Linked DNA regions of Caenorhabditis elegans. The protein of the gene in region 1 interacts with the protein of each later gene in a pairwise test. Each region holds a gene or a part of one and is shown on either strand. Other genes may lie near its edges.

Region 1 (4,564 bases):
TTTTAAATCACCTACGATTGTCTTTTAAAAAACACCCAAAATTGTCTGAAAATCCAAAAAACATCGAGAAATAATGAAAATCCACTTTCAAAAACTCACATTTTTCGATTTTGGAAAAAAACTTTACTCATATCATCTAATTTTCCAGATCTCTCTCCCAATCGCTTCTCAATCTTCTCGACATCCAGAACATCGGCTGGATCTTCTTCGGCACCGCTCTCTCCTTCTGTATTTATAATAACGCCATCAAACCTCTTGTTAAATAGACAATCTGTATCATTTTTCGTTTTGTTTTCTTCTTTTTTTCTGTGAGTATAAATATTACTATTAGTTGTTTCGATTATTCTTAATTTTTTTAAATAAATAATTTTTTTAACTGGATAAAATCATAAGTGGCTTTGCTGCAAGATTCTTCTTCTTCATAGCTCAACGGTGGACGAATGGGACTTGCATTGGACAAGCCAAATAACCATCAAAACTGGCGAAGGACTATGATTGACACTTCCACAATTTTTAATTGAATAAAAACTTTTCTCAATAAACTTTATTCTCAAAACTATTCATAATACATGTAGAAAGTTCACTATTTCTCAATGGCTGTCATTGCACCTTGATCTTGCCCATGTGCAGCAGTCATAGTCGAGCTTTTGCTCTTCTCACGCGAGTTTGACCGTTTCATTTTCTTGCCAATCTTCGACATCATCTGTAAGAAATCATGAAATTTAAAACATTTTGACAAAAACTCACTCCGCCTGGACCAGTATCTCCTCCTTGAGCCTTGACAAACGACTTCATCCACTTGCAAATGTCCTTCATTGGGAGACGATCCTCATACTTTTCCGGCCAGCATTTCGTCTTAAAAGTTATTGGATTACGGTAACTACATTAATCTGAATTGATTCTTACCAAGATGAATTCTGCAAACTCCTTGTTTACCTCCGGGCTGAACGGCATACGGTATCCTTGGAGAACCTTCATTGCCACCTCAATAACCTTGAATCCAGGATATGGCTCCTTCCCATCCTCGGTGATTTCCCATGCCATCACTCCAAAAGCGAAGACGTCAGTCTTTGGAGTATAAAGACCCGAACGAATGGTCTCTGGAGGCAACCAACGGATTGGTACCTTCTTTTTCAGATCCATCGTGTAGTCCGCACCTTCACGGGACAGTCCGAAATCAGCGATCTTGACCTGAAAGTTGTTTGTTAACTTCTAGATGCATCTAGATCCGTGATTATTTTCACTCGGGAATCGCTCGCCCACTATGGGGGAGTCTACGCAAGGACAACGCAAGGACAAGGACAACATTCTAATGGAATGGAAACGATTGCCCGACTGCACCAATTCTAGTTCAAGCGAACAATAACTTTTGTATTCTGTATTCCTTCACGTCTCCCAGCGAGCGTAATAAATTATTATTATTATTATCTAGGTGAATCTACAGTACCTGTCCACCACCATAAAGGCAGTTACGAGCAGCGACATCCCGGTGCATCAGGTTCTTCTCGTGGATGTAGGCGAGACCATTGGCAGCTTGGTAGATCAACTCGTACTTCTTGATCATCGGGAAATGGAGCTTCCCAAGGGCAGAATCGAGTGCTCCACCATCAGCCAACTCCATGATCACGTAAAGAGGTTCCGTGCCAGCTGCTACTCCGAAGAATTTGACGACGTTGATATGCTGAAATAAATCATTGAAAAATGTAGTGCAGGGGAATATAATGTGTTTATTTCTGAACTAATTAGCAACGCCCCGATTACTATGATCTCAAAGTTTTTTATCTGCGAGAAAATCAGAGACTAAGGCTTATTTAAACTAAGGGAAAATCTTTACAGCTTCCCACAGATTCCTTAAATCCACGTGGATCCACAATGACTTTTTCGAAGCCCTGTGATACATCACTACTACTACTACTACTAATTAGCGTTCGCTTTGAACCAGCAGCTTGGCCCGAAATTACCCAAGCAGAGCAAGACTATTCCAAGAATCATAAGGCTTTCATCTCAAACTCACATCAAGATTTCTCATCAATCGAGCCTCCCGCATAATCTCCTTGATCTGCTCCTTCGTCATACTCTCCAGCTTTGCAGTCTTCACAGCGACAAGTACAGGCTGATGATTTGCATCCAGAATCTTCAGGAGCTTCCCCTTCCATACTTCTCCAAATGCTCCCTCTCCAAGCTTCTTCGTCAACTCCACATCCTCATGGTACAGCTCCCATTTCTGACGCTCCACAGCCTGCTTCAGCACAGCCTTGACAGTTCCATCCTTGGTCGAGAAGCTCTCTTTGGTCGACACATAGTGATTGACGAGTTCGATGATTGTTGGGAAGCCAATCTTATCAACGTAGACTTTGTGATCACTCTCACGAACAACAAAGTGATTAGCCTGGAAAAGAAGAAGTTTAATTGGAATCCCGGGAAAGATAATCACTAACAGAAGTCTTCTTTTCACCTACAACTGACAACACGAACTGCCTCTTTTCTCCTTTAACAGGCTCCGATGTTCTGAGCAAGAACTGACCGGGTTTATTAAGCATCTCCTGAAACAAGACAATAGTCTGAATAACCATCAGTAGCACAACTCACCTGAATGTCCTCTCTCGGCAGCAATCCGTGATAGTACTTTTGATGAAGTAGATCCTTATCAGTCATGATATCAGCTTGTTTTAATCTTGTTAAGATCTAACGAAGCTTGTGCAAAGTGTGATTGGACACAATCAATGCAAGGATTTATATCAAATACTGAATTCCGAATTCTGAGACTGATTGATTTTTGGAGATTTAGGGCAGAGATAAAATTATGATTTGCCACGCAGTAAACTTTGGAAGTTTGTGGAGGTTTTATGAGTTCACGTAAATGGTTCACATTTTTGAGATATTTTTGAAAAATGATTAAATTTCAAAAAAGAATTTCATAGAAGAAATGAATACGTTCAAAAATGCGGTCTTTACTTCGACAGCTGGATTACTAGAGTGAGAAAGTCAGACATGGTGCATCGACCTTTGTAGTTAAAACTTTTTTGATAACATTACAAAGAACTGAGATATGAACTGCTAAACATGAGAAGTAACATGGTGCATCGATATGGCGCAAACTACAATTGTTTAGATTTAAAAACTCGAACCTTATCTGTCATTTATTTTATGAGAAAATTTTGAATGATAAAATATTTTTCATCCATTGCTTTAAAGTTTGAAAATTTTAATTTTCTGATAAGTTAAAAATCCGAAATATTGACCTCCAGATTATAGCTGTACACATGGTGCATCAATAGGAGGTGAATTATTTTCTTTAGTTTTTGGTTAAAAGTTCATAATTGTCTTTCAATTCAACCGAGATCTGGCTTTCAAAGAACAGCAGTATACATGGTGCATCGATCGGGAGTAAGCATCTTTGTTCATTGTTCACGACTAATCTTGGTTTCCGTTAGTTTTATTGAACGAATGCGCACTTTCCAGTTCTTACAAGCCGAAATGTATTTACTTTTATCATAAAAATTGCTTTTTACTAAATGCAAACTTCCACATCACATTTTCATTCTTTGCCCTGTCAATTCCACCGTGCAAAACTAATTACCATTTGCCAGTTGTCCCATTTGAATTTTGAATTTTGAATATTGAATTAGCTAATATGGGAGATCGGAACCGAATAAAAGCCGATGAAATTGAAACGAAAAAGCAAACACCATCAAAATGTCAGCTATCAGTCTTCTTGTCCTTCTTCTAATGATCTTTGCCGCTCAATTGTGCAAGAATCCACTTGAAAATGGTACGTAAATCATTTAATTTAGTGTAGTTAATTTTATAAGAAATAGCTTGGTTTTGTTGGATACTTTCTGCAAAACTCTCTAAAAATCTATATAGGCTACTGTTTTAGCTAGTAGTTTAGCCCCTAACGTATCCTATTAAAGAAATTTTGCACAAAAATGTATTGACTTAAAATTTAATTTTTTTTCAATAAAACAATTTCTAAAAAATCACCGATATAATTATGGAATATCGGAAATTCCCAAAAATATCGCTGAAAAACACTAAATATGAACTGAACACTTTCAGGAGACAATTAAAAGTTCTCCGAGTTGAGTTTCACAGTTAATATTTTTAATGGAAATTTCAGTTATAAATTTGCAAATAGCACATTTCAAAGTTTGAGTATAGATTGACGCATTTTTTAGAAAGTAGTTTTGACAGGGACATTAAGTTTTAGTGGAGTTTTGGAAAATCTTCGTAGACAATAATAAAAATTTGTGTAGGTTCTATAATTTCATCATTTTACTTTCATTCTGGTATGATAATGTTCAATTTTATGTTTACCAGCTACTTCTCAGTACTTAAAAAAATAAAATAAAATATATATTCGGCTTTCCGAAATTCCCTGAAAATTTCAGAATGCGGGTGCATCAGACAACCAACATTTGAATTCAATTGGCTTCAAACCGAATATCCAGAAATAGCCAAACAATACACCGAAGACCAATTCCTTGCCCCAGTAGTCACTTATCCAGAATGCAAATCCATCGTTACCACTTGTCCAAATGGTTATTCGGTTGCCGGTTTCATT
Region 2 (4,132 bases), on another chromosome or scaffold:
AAAATGTTAAAGGCCACTATCACTTATGGGGTTTTTGTTTCAATTAGTTCAACTCAAAGTTATAATGATATGGATATATAAAAACATTCCAATAGTGCTCCAATGTTCAAAAATCGTGAGAAAAATTTTACAAAGTTATATTGAAAATTTTTATTTCAAGTCAAAATGATCTGAAACTTTCAATTTTCGTTTTTTTTTTTGAAGGCGTCTATTAAAAAACACTTTTCTTGCTTCCAATTGTAAGTTATAATTACGCTCAAAATATTTACATTCCATAATTTTAGGAGTTTGAACATGCGACAGAAAATAGTTTTTTACGTTTGTCGGTGAACTTTTCTTGTTTTCTTGAAAATTTAATGAACTTTCTCTATGAACTCATATTTAATCAATAACCCCAAAAGTGACAGATTACCTTTAGAAAAAAAGCTCCTATAACTTTAAGTTGAAGTTTGACGCTTATTTTTTCAAAATTTAATATGCAAAATTTTCAGATCTGGAGGAAGAGAAACGCAAACAAAAGCAAAACGGAGTTGTCGAGGAAGGAAATGAAATGGATGACAATGTATGTTCATCCAACAACGATAATGATAAACTGATGTTTTACTAATTTAGATCCCACTAAAATCACTCAAGAATAACTAGAAAACCAATCTAGCCAACGCTGCTAACCGATTCTCACCCAATTCATCAAAATCTACACGGAGCATGCCATTTATTTAAACAATATTGATCTTGTTTCCACTGACCCATTGTTTTATGAGACCCCTCCCCATGTTCCGTTTTTTCGAACTTTGCAGTTGTCTCAGGTTTTAGCATTATAGCACGATTTTTCATATATTATGATATACAAAAACTGCTTGCATTTTCCAATTTTCGGTTAGTTGTGTGTAGTAATTTCTTTTTTTTAAATCTTAACTATTCATATCTTTCGCTTTTTTTCCTCTGTGTTTGACTATGACTTCTGTCATTTCCTCGATGTTCTTTATTTGGGTACGTTTCCCTTTTTCCTGTCTCAATCATCTCTGTTGTTGTTTGCAAATATCCAATCTTTAAAAAATCCACATTTAGGTAAAATTGTAATTCTTTGTGTCTCCATTCCCATGTCGAATGACCTCCTCGGATATTGCATTTGGTTGTTTTTTGTTCCCTTCCTGGCTTGTTTCATTCATTCATACTGCTACATTTCAACTGTATTCCAAAGCTATATATTTCCTTAATAAAAATTGCTTTCCGTGATAGGAAATGATGTGATTGTTAATTCTAATGTATTTTGCTACAGTGTAGCAAAGAGTGTGGTTTTATCTTTTACGTACGGCTTGATAAAATCATTCTTAATAAACCCACAAACTATGATTTTACGACAAAGTTTTAATAATGATTTGAATGTTTAAGTTAAACAGTTTTATTCATATAACTTTTTGTTAGAGTTTAAAAGTTTAATTTATTAGAGAAAAAACATTTGAAAAAATATATTAATTAAAAATCTATTCGCATATTTTTCATTCATTAAGTTTATTGATAAACTACAAACTTCATTGTATGTTCGTTATCATTATATAATGTACCCACCTGTCTTGATATCACTGTTTTTAGCATAGTCATGTCTCCGGTTATATTAGTAACACCCGAAGATTCGCTGGTCCATGAAAATGTGTCAATTGTTGTAAACGGCCTGGAGTACCAGAAAAATTATCTTTTGGAGCTGAGGTAAGTTTTTAAAATGTATTGTGTCACTTTTGAAGATTTTGTTATTAAATTGGCCGTAATCAGTTCAACGTACCAAATAAATCAAAGAAAAAATCAAAACATTTCCAGAACATTCTTTTAACACGTCTTTGATCTTTTAAGATTACTTCATAAAGTTGGAATATATCGTTCGTATGGTGTTTTCAAATCTACCGTAACTGGCTGCATAGATTTGAGTAAAATCGCTCCAATACGTGGTACTTATTCTGGTGTTAATGAAAGCGGACTGTTCGAAAGCCTCGAGCCAACGGATACTGTCAGATACGGCGGATATTGTAATTGCACACCCCCGGTTGACTTCAAATACCAATTGTTGTAAGTTAGTTTGAATTTTCAATAGTCTTATTGTTCATACATAGGGTGAAAAACTTGAATGGAACCGTGCTTGGCGAAAAATCACTATGCAGGAGGCTTATGCATCCACTGGTGGAAAGAATAGAGGTTGAAGAAGCATATCCAGAAGGTACCACCGGTAAGCCTAAAGTTACCGGAACAATGTTCAAACCACCTGGAAATGGCCCCTTCCCAACAATCATCGATATTTCCGGAACCGGTGGAGGCTTGAATGAACAGAAAGTAACTTATTAATTTCGAAACTAAACCGATGATAGAATATTTTTTTAATAATTCAGGGCGCCGCACTTGCCAGTCGTGGTTTTGCAGTCCTATGCCTTGCATTCTTCAAATACAAAGATTTGCCATATGAATTGCAAGAAGTCGAATTACGATATTTTGAGGTTGAAGAAATATTTTGTATTTTTCAAAAACGTTATACTTCCAGGATGCCATCAATTTTGTCACTTCATTACCCTATACGAATGACAGGATTGGCTTTCAAGGTATATCGTTTGGAGGAACTCTTGTTATGTTTCTCACCACAAGGTTCAAACAGGTAGGATTTAATGTTGTCTGAAAACAAATTTAATAGTTTAAAGATAAAAGCGGCATGCTCAATCAATGGCAGTTTCACAATGGACGAATTTGCGCACGTATTGATAGATGGAAAACAACCTCCAGTAGGAAGGTGCATTTTTAGAAAAATGTCATTTTTCATTAAATGTTTATAAAAATTCTGTTATAATATAACAAATGAAAAGGAATCACACATTTGAGCATCAAATCGAAATGATAAAACCCCCGACAAATTTCAGCATTTCAGATTTATCAATCAAGGAATTGAGGATATCTGGTATTTGAATGATTTAATGGTGTACACTGATATGGTCAGAAACCTAAAACTTGAAGATGGGGCAGGATTTAAATTCGAGGATTCAAGTCCAGAAACTGCATTTAGATTTTCTGTTAGTTTTCCCGACAAAAAACATAGAAATAATTTCAAATTTTCAGCTCGCCGTAGATGATTTGAGCACACCAACTGTATTTGTAGGAAAGGTGTTATCAGAAAAGTTGAGAAACTTAAACAGGAAAGTCGAAGTTCATTATGTTTCTGGTGGTCATTTGCTAGATCCTCCATGTTTTCCGCATCACGAAGCTGTGTTTTCAGCTTTTGCAGGTAAATTATTATTTTTTTTGTTGGCCCGCTGTCGACCGCTGTTGCAACATCTAAAATTCCGATTTCATTGATTTTTTATTAAACTTTGTTAACTTTGTTTTCTAAAATTCAAATTTTCAGGAACCTTCCAAGCATATGGTGGTGAAACAAGCCTTCACGGAAAAAGTCAGTTTGAAGTCTGGGAAAAAACTGTCCAATTTTTCTCCGAACACCTCGGCGCGCCAACTCCTCTTCCTGACTATTCGAGACATTTGGCAAAACTTTGAACTTCATTTCTCTGTGCAAATAAAATCATCTCTCCATTTCTTTACTTACAAAAAATTGATTTGAATATAAATACTCTCTTTGTATGTCGAAATGAAATTCCAATCATTTCGAACACAAAAAAAGCGAAAAAAGCATCTGAAATTGCGTTCGACGACAAATTGATAAACGTTTGAGATGGTTGCCGGTGAGTCACAATCAAAATTGAAAAGAGACATACATATTGTGAAGTTATTGTCCCCCACCCGCAATAGGTACAAATGATACATCATTATCGCCTTCAACCTACGCGTTCCATGAATAATTATGCAGAACGACAACAACAAAGGGAGTCGTATTGCAATATGTGTATTGGTACACTGTAATCCGCACGTTGAGCGCACCGAAACGGCTTAGTCAGTTCTTATGAAAAATATTCAGAATACAAAATACATAACCTGTTTTTACGTTCCGAACCGATACCCCTGAATAGGATATGAACTGTAATCAGTTTACGGGCGCGGTTTAACTTTTCAAGAAATGTTAGCATCTGTCCCGAAAAACTGTCATACTCTTTATTAGAAGCGAAACGCTGAATTTTCACATTATATATGGATTCGCAAAGTTTCC

Evidence for each region. Proteins that work in one complex are often made in the same cells at the same time.
Region 2: the proteins of C35E7.10 (region 1) and K05B2.4 interact in a two-hybrid assay, tested with the Caenorhabditis elegans proteins (one large-scale study listed by BioGRID).

The regions. Positions count from the first base shown.
Region 1 is NC_003279.8:10,810,119-10,814,682, forward strand, and holds C35E7.10 (Tyrosine-protein kinase), read right to left. Parts: upstream 2,806-4,564; 5' UTR 2,656-2,805; coding exon 2,590-2,655; intron 2,544-2,589; coding exon 2,439-2,543; intron 2,390-2,438; coding exon 2,015-2,389; intron 1,682-2,014; coding exon 1,448-1,681; intron 1,192-1,447; coding exon 907-1,191; intron 856-906; coding exon 748-855; intron 704-747; coding exon 584-703; 3' UTR 530-583; downstream 1-529. Other genes in the region: slfl-3 (Schlafen-like protein 3), read left to right, coding at 149-266; C35E7.7 (uncharacterized protein), read left to right, coding at 3,697-3,772, 4,392-4,564.
Region 2 is NC_003284.9:4,918,448-4,922,579, reverse strand, and holds K05B2.4 (Acyl-coenzyme A thioesterase 1-like), read left to right. Parts: upstream 1-1,587; 5' UTR 1,588-1,600; coding exon 1,601-1,707; intron 1,708-1,848; coding exon 1,849-2,061; intron 2,062-2,105; coding exon 2,106-2,322; intron 2,323-2,378; coding exon 2,379-2,483; intron 2,484-2,527; coding exon 2,528-2,638; intron 2,639-2,681; coding exon 2,682-2,770; intron 2,771-2,905; coding exon 2,906-3,047; intron 3,048-3,093; coding exon 3,094-3,259; intron 3,260-3,379; coding exon 3,380-3,525; 3' UTR 3,526-3,592; downstream 3,593-4,132. Other genes in the region: mct-4 (MFS domain-containing protein), read left to right, coding at 492-562, 613-642.